Mytilus edulis: one gene and its partner. The protein of the gene in region 1 binds, or shares a complex with, the protein of each later gene. Links are inferred from orthologs where the notes say so. Each region holds a gene or a part of one and is shown on either strand. Other genes may lie near its edges. The genes, in order: BBSome complex member BBS7-like and ADP-ribosylation factor-like protein 6.

Region 1 (9,332 bases):
CATTAAAGACATGATTTTACATCTCTAAACTTGAGAATTGTTGCGAGATTGTAAGAAAAATTACAAGTGATTTTTTGAGAAAATTAAGGGGAGATTATTCAAACATTATATGTTATAACTAACTTATATGTGTATATTTTAAAATAATACTTGTACAAGTACTACCCATGAGTGTATTAGAACTGGCTTGTTGTTTAGACTGCTTCAATATTTATTAGCACATTTTTGTATTGTAATCCTATTTTAATTAAGCTGTAGATCTCATCTAACATGCTCAAAGAACATGAAGACCAACACATGTACACACACACATGGATGTGTGTTCTTCTCCAATTTTAAAATGTAAAAGTATAATACTATCATATAATCATAATCGTGTGTATCAGTGACAAAGTATAATGAACAAAGGGAGATAACTTATATTTAACTTCAATTTCATTTGTCTAGCACAAGTTTTGTTATTAAAAATTTGCCTCTCTATAAATGCTATCTACTAACACGACTGACAAAATGTGTGAACAACCATATTCTTAATTCACTAATAACCTGAAAGCATCTAATCTCAGCTTTACTTTCAAGAAATTGTCTTAGTTTGATCAAAATACATTAAATTAAACCACTTTCTTTTAACAAACATATTTAAGTTTAAACATGTTTAAAGTAATTTCACTACTCAACTTTTCAAATCCAAGTGTTCTGGTTCATAAATTTTATTTACTTACATTGACTTACATGACTTAGGAACTTCATTAATGTATAACATGCTAATGTAGATGTATTTGTTGAAAATTAAGTCACATTTCAACTTTTTTTGTAGTTCTAAGGACACATTAAATATGAACAGTTTGTGGTAGGGGTTAAAAATTGTGATTTGTACTTTCTGTGGCTCATTTAAACAACTATAATTTTATTAAATTGCTTTGTTTCAGATTTCAGCTTCATGTCCACTTGATAACATACAAAACAGTCATGTGACAGTGTCAGCCTTGGGCTCTGAAGTTGTGATACATGTACAGATAATTTTGTATTTAAAAAAACAATAATATCAACTAAAGTTTATCTTAAACAGTCAGGGGACTTACTGAAATAAGTGATTTTTAAATCACTTATTTGAGTAGCAAATTCAAGGTTTTGTCACAAATTGGGATTTTGTAGTTTTTTCAAAATTTTAAACACATAGGATTAAATAACATCTTTTAATTAGTAAAATTAAAAAATATGAACTTTTTGCTTCTTTTAAGTAGCAAGGTTTATGCCTTTGATGCTATCATTTACCTGAAAATTCTATTTTAGTTGAAAAAATGCTATAATAATGGCTTTACATAATGAACTGATACTTTCTTCAAAGATTTTTCACAGCAGTGGGAGTATTTTTCCTGTGAAGTTCAAGGTTTCATCTTTCAGATTATGTAATAAAATTCTACTGTTCGCGATAAAAATTTCACTGTTCGGGGGTGTTGAAATTAGTGGGGGTTATTAAAAGAATGATACTTAAAGAAGTGATTTTGGGAAGGAAATTGAGGTCTGACACTTAAACAAGTGATTTTTATGTCATTATCCTAGATTCAGTACAAGGTCATCACCTGAAATGACCTGGTCATCCTAGACAACACAGATGTTGGTTCTGATAAGTTTAGAAACATAATTAGTCCCTGGATCATTAGTATTCTATATTTAAAGCTACACTAATATTAAATCACTTCTTCTAGTGATTAATTTGTACTACTTAAATAGGTGATTATTAAAGAAAGACAACTCTAACTTCAAACCTTTATGGAAATAATGTTACTTGAATCAGTGATTTAGAAAATCACTTGTTTAAGTAAGTCCCCTGACTGATAATATACTTGTAAAATCAATTAACATTTAAAAAAATATAAATGACTATGAGATAAATTATAAAAACCAAAACTTTATTTAGACATGTTATGACTTTTACATTTGACCTAGTGACCTCATCTCTTATGTGGTCTTCTTTATCTCAGAAGGCATTGTTCATAATGTTTGGGAAATATAAAGTTTTTCATTTAAAAGATTAGAATTTTGTACAGTATTGTTTCAATATACATGTATATTTCAGATTTCCTACTTACATTCATGACTCAAGAAAATTAAGGTCTACATATTAATTCCTTTTCATCTATCTCAATATTTTTATACCTTTGAAACATGGAGAGACCTTTAATTTTTGTTGAGATTTACTGCCAATAACAGAAGCAATAAAAACTTAAGGGTAGGCAATTTGAGGCATTACCATGGTAACAAAAGGATAGGTAGGGAAACCTTGATACATCATGTACAAGTATTGTGTTTTCTTTTTTGGCCTGAAATCAACTTATAATATTACAGTCAGGGGTACTACTTGAGGAAGTAAAAATAAATATACACTTATAAGTTAATTTGTAGGATACTTGTACAAGTGAATTTTATTTACTTGCACATGTTGTGTAGGTAACAAAAAAATTGGCTTAGTTATGTCCCTTACACATTCAGATTTTTTTACTTGTATAAGTAAAAAAGTCATCCTATCTTCTTTTCTTGAATTCTTAGGATTTCTTTGCTCTTATAGAATCTTAATTTGTCTGCCCTTTGCAGATGTCTTTACTAATCATTTCAGTGTAATTTCATGGGAAATGAAAATCCTGTTTGTCTGTTATCTTCAGAACACTGCTCATTTACAAGCCCCAAGGAGCAATTTTTGAAGGCCTTGCACAAATACTTAAGATCTTTGCACAATCAGTTTCTTTGTTGAAATAATGAGATGAAACATTGAACTCTTATCAAAAATTATGAGCTAACCTGGGAAAAATCATTAAAGACATGATTTTACATCTCTAAACTTGAGAATTGTTGCGAGATTGTAAGAAAAATTACAAGTGATTTTTTGAGAAAATTAAGGGGAGATTATTCAAACATTATATGTTATAACTAACTTATATGTGTATATTTTAAAATAATACTTGTACAAGTACTACCCATGAGTGTATTAGAACTGGCTTGTTGTTTAGACTGCTTCAATATTTATTAGCACATTTTTGTATTGTAATCCTATTTTAATTAAGCTGTAGATCTCATCTAACATGCTCAAAGAACATGAAGACCAACACATGTACACACACACATGGATGTGTGTTCTTCTCCAATTTTAAAATGTAAAAGTATAATACTATCATATAATCATAATCGTGTGTATCAGTGACAAAGTATAATGAACAAAGGGAGATAACTTATATTTAACTTCAATTTCATTTGTCTAGCACAAGTTTTGTTATTAAAAATTTGCCTCTCTATAAATGCTATCTACTAACACGACTGACAAAATGTGTGAACAACCATATTCTTAATTCACTAATAACCTGAAAGCATCTAATCTCAGCTTTACTTTCAAGAAATTGTCTTAGTTTGATCAAAATACATTAAATTAAACCACTTTCTTTTAACAAACATATTTAAGTTTAAACATGTTTAAAGTAATTTCACTACTCAACTTTTCAAATCCAAGTGTTCTGGTTCATAAATTTTATTTACTTACATTGACTTACATGACTTAGGAACTTCATTAATGTATAACATGCTAATGTAGATGTATTTGTTGAAAATTAAGTCACATTTCAACTTTTTTTGTAGTTCTAAGGACACATTAAATATGAACAGTTTGTGGTAGGGGTTAAAAATTGTGATTTGTACTTTCTGTGGCTCATTTAAACAACTATAATTTTATTAAATTGCTTTGTTTCAGATTTCAGCTTCATGTCCACTTGATAACATACAAAACAGTCATGTGACAGTGTCAGCCTTGGGCTCTGAAGTTGTGATACATGTACAGATAATTTTGTATTTAAAAAAACAATAATATCAACTAAAGTTTATCTTAAACAGTCAGGGGACTTACTGAAATAAGTGATTTTTAAATCACTTATTTGAGTAGCAAATTCAAGGTTTTGTCACAAATTGGGATTTTGTAGTTTTTTCAAAATTTTAAACACATAGGATTAAATAACATCTTTTAATTAGTAAAATTAAAAAATATGAACTTTTTGCTTCTTTTAAGTAGCAAGGTTTATGCCTTTGATGCTATCATTTACCTGAAAATTCTATTTTAGTTGAAAAAATGCTACAATAATGGCTTTACATAATGAACTGATACTTTCTTCAAAGATTTTTCACAGCAGTGGGAGTATTTTTCCTGTGAAGTTCAAGGTTTCATCTTTCAGATTATGTAATAAAATTCTACTGTTCGCGATAAAAATTTCACTGTTCGGGGGTGTTGAAATTAGTGGGGGTTATTAAAAGAATGATACTTAAAGAAGTGATTTTGGGAAGGAAATTGAGGTCTGACACTTAAACAAGTGATTTTTATGTCATTATCCTAGATTCAGTACAAGGTCATCACCTGAAATGACCTGGTCATCCTAGACAACACAGATGTTGGTTCTGATAAGTTTAGAAACATAATTAGTCCCTGGATCATTAGTATTCTATATTTAAAGCTACACTAATATTAAATCACTTCTTCTAGTGATTAATTTGTACTACTTAAATAGGTGATTATTAAAGAAAGACAACTCTAACTTCAAACCTTTATGGAAATAATGTTACTTGAATCAGTGATTTAGAAAATCACTTGTTTAAGTAAGTCCCCTGACTGTTAAATAAATCAAAATACAATGTTCTGATTCCAAAGTTATTTGAACTTTGAAATTCCTAAACTGACAGCAGTTTTACAAACCAATGAGTACAAAAAAGACTTGTTTGGACTTTGTTTTAATTATGAACATGATGAATCAAATGTCCCTATCATGCTGTTGACCTAGGATAACTTTTGGGTCAAAACACACCTTGTATAAGCTGAACCTTGCTTTTTAATGCAGATTTTTCTGTGAAATTCCCTTATTTGAAAATATGTATTGTATACAATTTGCTTCAGAAAGTAAATGTATGCGTATCAGATGACTCAGTATCTGATCATTGATGGTCAATAGAGAAAACAATGCCAGCATTCTTTTACATTCATTTTGTTGACATGCTTGACTATATACACGTATATCATGTTTATCATAACTAAGAACATGTGTACATCTATGACTGTGTAATGATGTATAGAGCATGACAGTCAGTGGATATATTTTTGTTCAATCAACAATGCATTTTGAATTTATAATGGTGCAAAAGTTTTGCGGGTACCTGAAAATTAATGTAAAGTATCAAAAAATCATTACCATTAAGATTAAAAGCAATAAATATATCCTTGCCATCCTTATAATGCCACGTATTGGTATGTAGCCGGTAGCCTTATCATTTGGGTAGAGCTCTTCACAGTTAAGGTAAAAATCTCCTTTTTCCCGAACTTTTTAAACATTCCATTTGACATGACTGAGATTCCAAATACAACTATTATGTTGTCTTAATGAATTATGGTTAAATGAAAAATATCTTCCACGAATCAAATTAATGTTTAAAAACAACGACCATGAATTATTCAAAAGAGAGAGAAAAAATTTAACTATATACGTGATGCATAACTTAGCAATACCGGAAGTTCTATACTTGGCAACATTCAACATTCCAAAATACAAAATACGTTCAAGATGATGGAATTAAACTTATCACGAGTTGATTACCTCCAGGTTGAATTTCATTTATCTACATGATAACATGTCAATCTTTTGTTCAAGTTCAAATTAGAATTAATGCATACTTAAAGGCTGCACTCAAACTCAAAGATGCAGATTGTTTTTCCTGCTTGACCAACATACCAAGCTTTAACTGTTTAAGATAGGCTACAGTTTACTCTTTATATTCCACCAACTATATTAGATGAACAATTTTTTTTGAAAGTGTAGCTTCCCTAACTTTAATATGAGGGAGGTGTTATACCCAACTGCGGCCAAGCTTCGCGATAGGTCGTGCGACATAATGGTATCCGGTCGTTCCGGCCCCAAACCGATCCGGCCCCAAGTCAATCCGGCCCTAAGTCGATCCGGCCCAAGTCGATCCGGCCCACGTCGATCCGTCCCCAAGTCGATCCGGCCCCATAATAAAATATGAATTAACTAGATTTTGGAGGAATTTGTCACAAACTTTAACAGTATAAATGGAATTTGAAAAAAGTCTCCGATTGATGATGGGTGACAACAGGTCAGTGAAGTATTGGAGTACCAGTTAACGAACTATTTTAAATCCATACGGAAATTAGTGTTATTGTGTCTGTTTGTATCGCAGTTTTATTCATTTTTAAATTATGAAGTTATTTTCCATGATAACTTTTACTTTGAATTTCATGGCGATTTTTATTTTATTCAGTTCACACACAGAATAGCTAAATAAATATTTACAGTCCAGTGGACCTATAAAATTTAACGCATAATAATGACTTATTTAATCAAATCATTAGTCTATAATTGGTTTGTTTATTCAACAGTTGTCTGATGATTGTGAACTAAGGTAATGCGACTCGTAATGATAAATCACTTAATTCAATCCAATGCTGATTAATTAAAGTTACGTAATCCGTTTTTCAACAAGGTCTTTATAGTTTGATCTTCTGGTTGGTGTATATTAAAATAATTATTTGTATTTTTTTTCCAGGTTACATCATAGGCTTCTATACCATATAAAAATATTTTTTTGTAACATCGGATATAGTCAATATATTTTTCTTATTTTGACAATATTTTGAATAGTGTGTAGATAAAAAAAAAAGAAGTCATATGAGTATCCATTATTCTTTATTGCAAGAAAACAACAAAACAATGACATTGAATGCACGTTTTCACTCTCTAAAATATAATATCAGCACCCTTTTATCATGTTCATAGAAAGGATTCGGCAAATCAAACAACATTTCTCAATTTTAGAAATGTCAAGAACCTAAAAAGAAAAAAAAAAGTTAATATTTATCAGCTTGGGGATCGGCTTGTACCGTTCATGTATGTAACTATTTGTTATTATATGTTACACAAGATGAAAGACTTGTTAGGATCACAGTCAATTGAAAGAAAATGCTAATTACATTACTGCTGATTAATGTTGATGTCTGAATTTTTTTATATACGTTTTAATATAATTATACCCAATAATCTTAAAAACTTGTAATAAAGACATAATCAACCTAGTTGTTTTATACTCATCTAAAGAAAATATTTTTCAAAGGCCTTTTTTACTTTTTTTTACCGTACACCTTTAACATTATAATAAAAATAATAAACATTTATGAATTACAATTAATATATATTTATTTTTATTCCTTAGAAATATTTTTTTTTATTGGGGCCGGATCGACTTTACATTTGGGCCGGATCGACGTGGGGCCGGATCGACGTGGGACGGATCGACTTGGGCCGGATCGACGTGGGGCCGGATCGACCCGAAAGCCGACATAATCAGACAAACAAACTTTATTAGATTAACTCTCTAAGGAACGATCGTTTTCATTGGTCAATTCAAACCTTCGACCTCACACCTGCAAAAATAGAACACGCGTACTTTAACGTTGAATGGACTGATTAATATTCACGTAGCTGGTCAAGGTCGTCTAAAGCTTCTATCGTCGTATTCGCATGCATGATTCTAATCACAATTCTAGCTTAATGTGCATGTGAAATTCATTTGTGTTATAATTTTCTGCAATTAATTGGTAGTAAAGTTTAAACTTTAAAATCTTAACAGTTAAAATATTCAATTTAAATATCTCCTCTAAATCAAGGGACGACATCAAAAGTTTAATGTAGGATAAAAAAAAAACCTCAATTCACATATTTTTTTTCATTGACACACCCAAGTTGCTTATCCTGCCTTCTCTTTTACTCAATGGACTCGATGAATTAACGTTGTACTTGAAAAATGAAACTGTATACTTTACTACAAACACTTTTCATATTGTTTGCCAAGTTTTAGATATTCTTCATAGAATAGTGATTTTTTTTCTGATTCCATTATAACTTGAAGGAAAAAAATAAATTCCAAAATTGTAAGTAAATTCATAACATGTAACACGCTTTGTTAAGAAAAAAATGGAGATGGCCAATCATGGCACAGCGGATAATTAAATGAAGTTTATACAAACGATATAATTCATGAGGTTTTGCTATTCTCGGTTGAAAAAACGAACGTAAATTATATATTGTAAATATTAAACCGTTGGTTTTCCCAAGTTGAATGGTTTTACACTAGTAATTTTGGGGCCCTTTATAGCTTGTTGTTCAGTGTGAGCCAAGGCTCTGTATTGAAGGCCTTACATTGACCTATAATGGTTTACTTTTATAAATTGTTATTTGGATGGAGAGTTGTCTTATTGGCACTCACACCACATCTTCCTATATCTATGTAAATACAAACAAACAATGTCTGTATTCATTAAATCATTTAAATGTATTTATAAAAAGGTGAGTTTCATCTTGTACATACATTTAGTCATCCTTAATTTCTTGATATTTTTTATCAGTTTATCATACACGTTTCGTTTTGTATTTTATTTCAAATACGAATACATACTACATATACTTTAGCGGATTGTTCAACAATGTTATGCAACTCTATTGTTACAGTATAAATTTAAAAAATTAATATTCACACATTCATAATCGAAAACAGTACATTTATATGTAATAAAGAAGATGTGGTATGATTGCCAATGCCACAACTCTCCACAAGAGACCACAATGACACAGAAATTAACAACTAAAGGCCATGGTACGGCTTTCAAAAATGAGCAAAGCCCATACCGCATAGTCAGCTATAAAAGGCCCAGAAATGACAATGTAAAAACAATTTAAACGGGAGTTGTTCCTTATAAACTACGACATTCCTCACAAGTATTAATATTTATTTAGTTCCAAACATTCGAAAGAAATAATCTTCACTGAATTCATTCAGGTGCACAATTGATACGATTAGTTATTTTGTTTCTATCTTTGGGGAACAACTTCCTCCTTTTATGGTAGCTACTGTATGTATGTTTTAGCATGACAATAATAAAGGAGGAATGTCAGTGCAACCCATCATTAATTATTGTAAAGCAGGATCAGTATTATGAAATACTTTATAAGTGACTACGACATTGTAAGGATTATAACCTATCGTAGGTATGAAAGAAATTAAAAGTGGTTCATTTATTCATCCGTATAAAAGCGGCACATGTATTTTATTTTATCCTTATATTTCTCTGACATCATGCCGGGTACAAGATAATTGAGTTGCTGCATGCATAAAGAACTTAGAATATCAGTATACTTTTTTGACCTCACTATTTGAAGTTAGCAAAACATTTATTTAAATCTTTTGGCCAAAGGTTTGTAAACTATACAAATCATTGTTTTTACGTTCGTAGTAAC
Region 2 (9,253 bases), on another chromosome or scaffold:
AACCACTGAACCATGAAATATGACCATTTGACCTTCATCATACAGCAACAGATCAGCCTTTTCAAATCATTTGCCTGCTTTAATATTATAAATCTGTATGTCCATCAATGTCTGAGCATTTACTGTGAATATCCAGGTGTATGCAGACTCGTAATATCATAAATTTCCTGGTTTAACTTTGTTATGTGGACAACTATAAATGATCATGGATTTCGAAAGTAGGTCAAGGTGGGGGACAAAGTTTTCTTCAAGTTCATGGCCATCTAGATCTACATTTTTTGCAAAAGGATCCGCCTATGATATACATTGTACTTGTATAACATTTCAAAGGTTTAGTGTTGAAGGCTGTACTTTGACCATTAATTGTTTACTTTGTACACAGTGTGACTCAGAAGGAGAGTTGTCACATAGGCACTCATACCACATCTTCTTTATATTTTGATGTATTTACATTATACCTCAAACCCATATTTTTTTTAACGTGTTTCTAAAGGATCTTTTCTGTTGAAATGTTTCCCATAATTCTTCAAATCATATGAACCTGATGTTCATGATATTAGACTAATTTGTGTCAATTAACATCAGTTTTCATAAGTCTCTGTGGCTAATTGATGAGTCCATGTTAATGAAAGCTTATTAACCATCAAGGTTTGATGAAACATCTAATTCAAAACTCTTTTTTTCAAATTACCAACTTTGCTTCCAATGTTAGAATTTTGGGCAATGGGAAACAACTCCTGCTTTATAGAACAAACTATTTTCCAGCTTAAACAATGCACAACTAGGGAAAGGGCTCTAACTGAACAAGGAGAAGAGCTAAAATCATGAAAGTCAAACTTGACCTGTAACTTGTCATGATAAAACAATACACCAAATAACAAATCAATATCTTCAAGCATGAAGAAAAAAGTCTGGAAAACTGATTTGCCGGACTGACAAATGGACAGACGGACAGAGTGCAAACCTAAAGTCGGTAGGGGACTGGGAAACAGCTGATGCCCCCTATAACATATAATGTTATAAAGAGACATACAGTAACTCAAGAATTGTAAAAGTGACACTACCCAAATTTGTACTTGATCTGAGTTTTGAGGTAATTAGCATTGTGTATACATTTCACATATTTAGTTTAGGCAAACTAAAGTTACAGACTGAAACGAAAAATCCAACAATTTTTCCATTTGTAAAGTGGCATACATGTACAGTTACTCTAGAACAGTTAATCGCTACCAAAATTCAACCTTGATCTTTGTTTTGTGGTAATTTAGCATTGTGCATAAGTTCCATAACATTTGGTTAAGGCAAACTAAAGAAAAGGTATGGAAATGTCATTATGAAAAATTCAGTATTTTTTTTCATTTGCAGAGGGACATACATGTAACTCTAGAATGGTAAAATTGATGCAACCAAAATTTAAACCTGATCTGTTTTTTGGGGTAATAATCATTGTGCATAAGTTTTAAGACATTTGGTTGAGGCAAACTAAAGTTAGAGAAAGGAAACCAATTTTTGGACGTACAGATTGCGATTGACAAGGGTAAAACCTACTAAATTATAAAATTGAAAACAAAGTCTTAAGTTTGAATTAGAACAATTCTTGATATTTTTTTGTATCATTTCAATGTAAATTTATTAATTACACTACATGTACAGTACATGTATATAAAATTGAACATTTATAAGAAAAACACGTATACATAAGTCAGTGTTAGTGTTATTTTTTTATCAAATAAAATGTACTGACACATTTACAATTTTAAAAAGGTGTGAAGCAGCCTGTACTAATGAACATACATGTAATAACAAGATGAATATTAATTATATAATTTCAAGAAAACATAACTTTTACACTGAATTGAATTTTCGCTGTAACAGTGTAATACTTTCTTCAATTATTATTTGTCATTTTCGTCCATCATAAAAGAAAATGAAAGAATACAAAAGTCAAGAATTCAGTAAAATATATATCATTGTATATACATTTTTTTGTAACACCAAGTTAAACTGTACATTTGTTTATGATTTCTTTAACTTTGAATATGTACCAAATGTACATATCTCAAATTACTAAAATAACAGCTATCGTTCCTATCAATAAGTGTTAATCATTTGCCTCCATCTATAATATCCCGAAGTTGGTCACTTATCCATTCTACGCCTTCCATAAGACCTTCCCCTGTTAAAGCATTACTTGCACATATATGCCATGGTTTGTTTTTCATGTTTTCTATTTGTTCTAACTGAAGCAAACTAGAAACTTTAACACTGGAAATTGCTTCACGTACATCCATCTTATTGGCAAAGAAAAGAACGGGAATTCTTCTATTAGTAATTTTGGGGTGATTTAGAAGTTGATCCAATTCTTCTTTTGCAACAACCATTCTAAGCTTGTCGCTACTGTCTATCACAAATATAATGCCTTGACATTCTGTGTAGTAATGCTCCCATAGATTTCTGTATCTGCCTTGGCCTGACATATCGAATGCTGTAATTGACAAGGCACTACTTGTAAATTTTTCAACTGTGAAACCGATGGTTGGCACAATGTCGTGAGATTTTGTTTCCTTCGGTTTAAGATGATTAATGATTGTTGTTTTACCACTGTTATCAAGTCCAACAACAATAACATTTGCATCTTTCTTTTTCAAACCAAGCCATTTTGCGAGTTTGTCAAAAAATCCCATCTTTAAGTTTATAGTACTAATACAATTTGTAATAACTATTATGTGTAGAGTCCGTGTGTACGAGTTTCAACCAGTTCTTTGCAAGATTTTGATTTTTGTCAGTGTTATTTTTCCATTTTAAAGCGAATCAGCTCATATCTGAAGGTTCTTGCTTCTTTGACAATTAATTAGTTCATATAAATGGATACAAATACTTGATCAAGGTGTGAAATTCAGGTAAAACTGCTAAAACGTGTAGCCGCTTCCTGTTACCACTGTAAACAACTATTTCCCGTCAAGCAACGGTGATTTTTCTAAATCTTTCGAACGTTTGAAAGAACGTTTTCTCGCATCTATTTATCCATGAAGTTCAAAATAATAATTGACCCTGATTAGAACCGGAAGCAATATTTTTCACTATTTTTATGATTTAAATTTTAGCATTTTCATCTGCATTTAATGGAAAAGAATGAAATAGGCCTAACAGGCGATTTAAATGCTATGCAACCATTTTGAACGCAGTTATGAAACAATGCATATATTATTTTACAACTGACCTGTAAGGTATAACATGATATTGATAATACTATATTTGAAAAATGACCTGGGAACAGTATACCTAAATTATATATATGTCCTAGTCCAAATAATTATGACATCTTGAAAGGCTATTATATTTTTTTTCTTTGACGCCTTACATCACGTCATAATTATTTGGACTATATATGTCCCTGACATGACCAATAATTTACAAAGGTTTATTATTTTTTGAAAATCACACATCACAATATATTCTTCTGCTGTGTTACATTAATATGAGGCAGTCATTACCTGTGAATGGGGACGAAGTCTGAATTATTTTCTTTTTTATTTAAACATGTTGATAAACGGAAATACCGTAACGTTTCCGATATTGGTTCGTTGTTAGGGATTTCCTTGTGACGTTATTTAAGTAATGACTTCATATTCAATGTATACAAAGAAACGCTGTTATCAGGTTACGTTTTTTTTTATAATATGAGGCAGGCAATACCTGTAAGGGAGCTACCATTTGATTTTTATGGGGGGGCTAGGATGAAAAATTTTGTCCTGCATTTTTTTTTAGTTGTAATCTCTGTCCTGCCTTTTTATTTTTCACTCTATTCGGTCCTGCTTTTTTTTTTTTAGTTTATCCTGACTTTTTTTACATAAATTGTCATCCTGACTTCTTTTTTTTTGCAAGTGTCTCATCCTGCCTTTTTTTTTTACTCAAAACTTCTGTCCTGCCTATTTTTTTCAAATTTCATCCTGGGTGTTGAATTCCTTCCTATGTTTGTTGATATGTTGATAAATATACATTTTATTCAAAGTCTCATGCAAACAAGACCGGCCGGAAAACGTTTGTGCGCAGATGCAGACTGGGAAAAGGAAGTAGATCTAAAAAAAAAGTTAACGATTTTGAGTTCATTAGAAGAATAAAAAATCGGGGAATTTTCCCGAATTTTTTATTTTTTATTGATTTTTCTAACGTAATTGGGGACTTCGTCCCCATCTCAAACAATTATTAAAAATGATTGGGTGTTGAATTCCTTCCTATATTTATTGATATGTTGATAAATATACATTTCATTCAAAGTCTCAGCCAACAAGACCGGAACAGGAAGTAGATCTGAAAAAAAAGTTAACGATTTTGAGCTCATTAGTACAATGAAAAATTCGTGAAATTTTCCCGATTTTTTTTTGGATTTTTTTTTTGTTTGAATTTTCTACCGTAATTGGGGACTTTGTCCCCATATCATATGTTGCAAGCAGTTATCTCTGTTGACAAACATGATTAAATCTTAAAATTACTTGATTTAAAAGAGTATCAGGTGCTCTCATCTAAAATAAACATTAGAAATATGGTGAAAGAGAAATTATATTTAAAGTATTGCAGCATATGGAAGAAAAAATTATTTAATGATAAAAGACAAAATAAGACCTCTGGAAATAAACTTAGAACTTATCGATTATTTAAACCAAATTTTAATTTTGAGCCTTACTTATTGAAATTACCATATATATTCAAAAATGTGTTTTTACAAGATTTAGAATTGGAGCTCACAAACTTGAAATAGAAAAAGGTCGTTACTTTAATATTAAACTAGAAAATAGAATATGCAAACTCTGTAATGAGGAAATAGAAGATGAGATGCATTTTCTTTTAACATGTAAAACTTTGGATAATGTTAGAAATCCCTTTCTAAGCAAAATATATAGTAAAAATAAAAATATTTCAAAACTTGATAACAAATCTCTTTTTATTTGGCTAATGGGAAATGAAGATAAAAACATTTTGATAATAATTTGTCAATCATTAGAGGTTTTAAATATAAACAGAAATACAACTTTAAATTAGATTTCTCTATATAAAGATATAGAATGATATGTATGATCAAATATGCATTTACATTAGTTATTTCTTTTACATTTAATAAATTATTAGCATACTATGAGGTGTACTGTCCAATAAAGGGACCAGAGTAACAGACAATTGGTCATATTATATTATATATATTTTTATTATTACAAATTGCCCAGTCTGCACGGTTAGCCACTAGTCTGATGCCCCAGACTAGTAAAATTTTATTCGGACTAGTAAGTTTTTGCAAAACTTTGTTTGGCCCAATAAGAAAAGTGTCAGAATATTGGTCTTCGGACTAGTAGTTGAAAAAGTTTTTTGGTGCAGACTGATTTGCCTACTTCATTTGCTTTAATATTTTATATCAATCAATCAAATCAAAATCAATCATATTATGTACTTTGTTTAACCTATTTTTAATTTACTTTACATTATGTTTGAAAATTATATTGTAATTATTCTGCTCATTTTGGGCGTCGTGATTGACAAATAAAATATCTGTTGTTTGTTTGTTCTGTTGAAGTCCGTGTTTTCCCTCGCCTTACTCAAAATTTTGGAAAAGTCTTGTCACTGCACTCCAATTTTTAATATTCTTTAATTTCTCGTTCTTCAATGTTATCCTTTGGTTATGGCACCACAAATCAACTATCGTATCATAGAAAGAAAACAACTATACTATTTAATTTTTACTTCATATATATATATTCTGAATTTTGCTAAGACTACATGCATGTACATCATGTCATGTACTTCGGCACTGACAGTATCAGGTCTGTTCACACCCAATACACTTTTGCACCCCACACCTTCGCACCTCACATGTTTGCCCCCGAAGTCCGTTCACACCCTGCACGTTCACACCCAATTTTTATTGGAATTTCAGTTGAATTTTTTAGATATTTCTTTTATATGTATATACCAAATATTTTTATTGTATACTGCAACTACCTGGGTTTATTTCCTAAATATAGTAACATAGCTATATTTTGTATAATGTCTATTTCATCATGAAACACTGTCTCCACAATCAGGGGTCCATTAAGAGATGAAAATAAGTTTGACATTTCTGTTACGATTTAAAAAGCTATCTGTATTAATTTAAGTTCATTTAGTTGCCGTATAAAAACAATATTAGGTCAATGTTCTAAATTTTTTTTTAAATTGTACTCTATGCAAAACTTTCTAAGCCTCATACAAAAAAGTTATATTTTCCTGACATTGACCATGTTGACCTAATATTGTATATGTCTTGAATAAGATTTGAGGAATTATTTTACAGATTTCATTTTTTACAGCTTGGCTCCTTTTATCTCATGAAGATGAAAAAATGTGTGTTTGTCAGAATCCTAATTCCTTTTGAAACAATGAAAAGAAATATTTATAGAAATACACTTTAATACCATGACACAAAAAAAATAACTTGTCAGAATCTCACTTTATTTAGAAACAATAAAAAAATATATATGCATAGCAATACATTTCCAAAAACTTGTTTACAAATTATTAAACACAAAACCAATAACAATTGGGCACGAAAGTGTAGGGTGCGAACAGACTTTGGGTGCGAAATTGAAAGGGGGCAAACTTGATTGGACACGAACGGACTGACATCGACCCTACATGTACATGTAAATTAAATCAGTACAATGTGACGTTGTAACTCCCACAGTATTCTCAACACATATAGTCAAAACAAATAGCACATAACAAATATACATAAAAAAGCACAGTATTGTGAAAAAAGAATCATCATGATCATAGACTGTATAATAATCAGCACTTTGAATATTTAATTGGTCTGTTTCAATTTGGATGCACAATCTGTTGGTGCATTTCTTATTTTTATGCCCCACCTACGATAATAGAGGGGCATTATGTTTTCTGGTCTGTGCGTCCGTCCGTCCGTTCGTCCGTCCGTCCGTCTGTTCGTCCATCTGTGCCACTTCAGGTTAAAGTTTTTGGTCAAGGTAGTTTTTGATGAAGTTGAAGTCCAATTGACTTCAAACTTGGTACGTATGTTCCCTATGATATGATCTTTCTAATTTTAATGCCAAATTAGAGATCTTATCCGAATTTTACGGTCCACTGAACATAGAAAATGATAGTGCGAGTGGGGCATTTGTGTACTGAGGACACATTCTAGATTTTAATCTATTTTTTGTACCTTAACCCCTATAACATAATATGATGCAAGTGTCAGATCAAATGTTGTTGTTTTTTTTAAGTTAAATGAATTTGTATGAAACAGTAAGAAAAAAAATTGAAGATTTTGAGTTGATAAGTGGACTGATTTTCTGTTTTATTGTTTTTCTTACTTTTTTTGGAGACTTAAGTAAATGTCATATTAATTGGAATACTGGTCATTCTCAGTCTAAATAATAAAATGTAGAATTATCACAAGTGGCATTGAACTAAAAAAAATGTCAAATATATTTTGTGATTGCTGTTATAATTTTTATATGACCGCAAAATTTGAAAAATGTTTCGTCGTATATTGCTATCACATTGGCGTCGTCGTCTGCGTCGTCGTTTTCCGAATACTTTTAGTTTTCGCACTCTAACTTTAGTAAAAGTGAATGGAAATCTATGAAATTTTAACACAAGGTTTATGACCACAAAAGGAAGGTTGGTATTGATTTTGGGAGTTTTGGTCCCAACATTTTAGGAATTAGGGGCCAAAAAGGGCCCAAATAAGCATTTTCTTGGTTTTCGCACTATAACTTTAGTTTAAGTTAATAGAAATCTATGAAATTTTGACACAAGGTTTATGACCACAAAAGAACGGTTGGGATTGATTTTGGGAGTTTTGGTTTCAACAGTTTAGGAATTAGGGGCCAAAAAAGGGCCCAAATAAGCATTATTCTTGGTTTTCGCACAATAACTTTAGTTTAGGTGAATAGAAATCTATGAAATTTAAACACAATGTTAATGACTACAAAAGTAAGGTTGGTATTGATTTTGGGAGTTTTGGTCCCAACAGTTTAGGAATTAGGGGCCAAAAAGGGACCCAAATAAGCATTTTTCTTGGTTTTCGCACCATAACGTTAGTATAAGTAAATAGAAATCTATGAAATTTAAACACAAGGTTTATGACCATAAAAGGAAGGTTGGTATTGATTTTGAAAGTTTTGATCCCAACAGAATAAGGGGCACAAAGGGTCCAAAATTAAACTTTGTTTGATTTCATCACAATTGAATAATTGGGGTTCTTTGATATGTCGAATCTAACTGTCATGACTGTGTATGAAGATTCTTAACTTTTGGTCCCGTTTTCAAATTGGTCTACATTAAGGTCCAAAGGGTCCAAAATTAAACTAACTTTGATTTTGACAAAAAATGAATCAGTTAGGTTCTTTGATATGCTGAATCTAAAAATGTACTTAGATTCTTGATTATTGGCCCAGTTTTCAAGTTGGTCCAAATCGGGGTCCAAAATTAAACTTTGTTTGATTTCATCAAAAATTGAATAAATGGGGTTCTTTGATATACCAAATCTAACTGTGTATGTAGATTCTTCATTTTTATGCCCCACCTACGATAGTAGAGGGGCATTATGTTTTCTGGTCTGTGCGTCTGTTCGTCCGTCCGTCTGTTCGTTCGTTCGTTTGTCCGTTCGCCTGTCTGTCCCGCTTCAGGTTAAAGTTTTTGGTCAAGGTAGTTTTTGATGAAGTTGAAGTCCAATCAAATTGAAACTTAGTATACATGTGCCCTATGATATGATCTTTCTAATGTAAATGCCAAATTATAGTTTTGACCCCAATTTTACGGTTCACTGAACATAGAAAATGATAGTGCAAATTTCAGGTTAAAGTTTTTGGTCAAGGTAGTTTTTGATAAAGTAGAAGTCAAATCAACTTGAAACTTAGTATACATGTTCCTTTTGATAAGATCATTCTAATTTTAATTCCAAATTAGAGAATTTATTCCAATTTCACGGTCCACTAAACATAGAAAATGATAGTGCGAGTGGGGCATCCGTGTACTGTGGACACATTCTTGTTGGTCCTGTTTTCAAATTGGTCTACACTAAAGTCCAAAGGGTCCAAAATTAAACTTAGTCTGATTTTAACAAAAATTGAAATCTTGGGGTTCTTTGATATGCTGAATCCAAAAATGTACTTAGATTTTTTATTATGGGCCCAGTTTTCAAGTTGGTCCAAATCAGGATCTAAAATTATTATATTAAGTATTGTGCAATAGCAAGTCTTTT

Evidence for each region.
Region 2: the proteins of BBSome complex member BBS7-like (region 1) and ADP-ribosylation factor-like protein 6 are in contact, whole or in part, in a cryo-EM structure (PDB 6VBV), measured with the Bos taurus proteins. The link is inferred for Mytilus edulis from reciprocal best matches to the Homo sapiens genes BBS7 and ARL6. Residues at the interface, in NP_001178275.2 of Bos taurus: Leu3, Ile249, Val250, Gly251, Asp300, Gly301, Tyr302, Asp303, Thr319, Glu320, Pro321, His323, Lys324, Glu325, Ser326, Gly327, Pro328; in NP_001069250.1 of Bos taurus: Met132, Asp133, Arg135, Thr139, Ser140, Val141, Ser144, Trp157, His158, Ile159, Cys160, Ala161, Asp163, Lys166.

Annotation. Positions count from the first base shown.
Region 1 is NC_092345.1:61,644,750-61,654,081, reverse strand, and holds the start of BBSome complex member BBS7-like, read left to right. Parts: upstream 1-5,501; 5' UTR 5,502-5,588; coding exon 5,589-5,627; intron 5,628-9,332. Other genes in the region: protein disulfide-isomerase A5-like, read right to left, coding at 5,220-5,255.
Region 2 is NC_092344.1:97,617,603-97,626,855, forward strand, and holds ADP-ribosylation factor-like protein 6, read right to left. Parts: upstream 2,977-9,253; 5' UTR 2,685-2,976; coding exon 2,106-2,684; 3' UTR 1,575-2,105; downstream 1-1,574. UniProt on the Homo sapiens protein: Involved in membrane protein trafficking at the base of the ciliary organelle. Mediates recruitment onto plasma membrane of the BBSome complex which would constitute a coat complex required for sorting of specific membrane proteins to the primary cilia.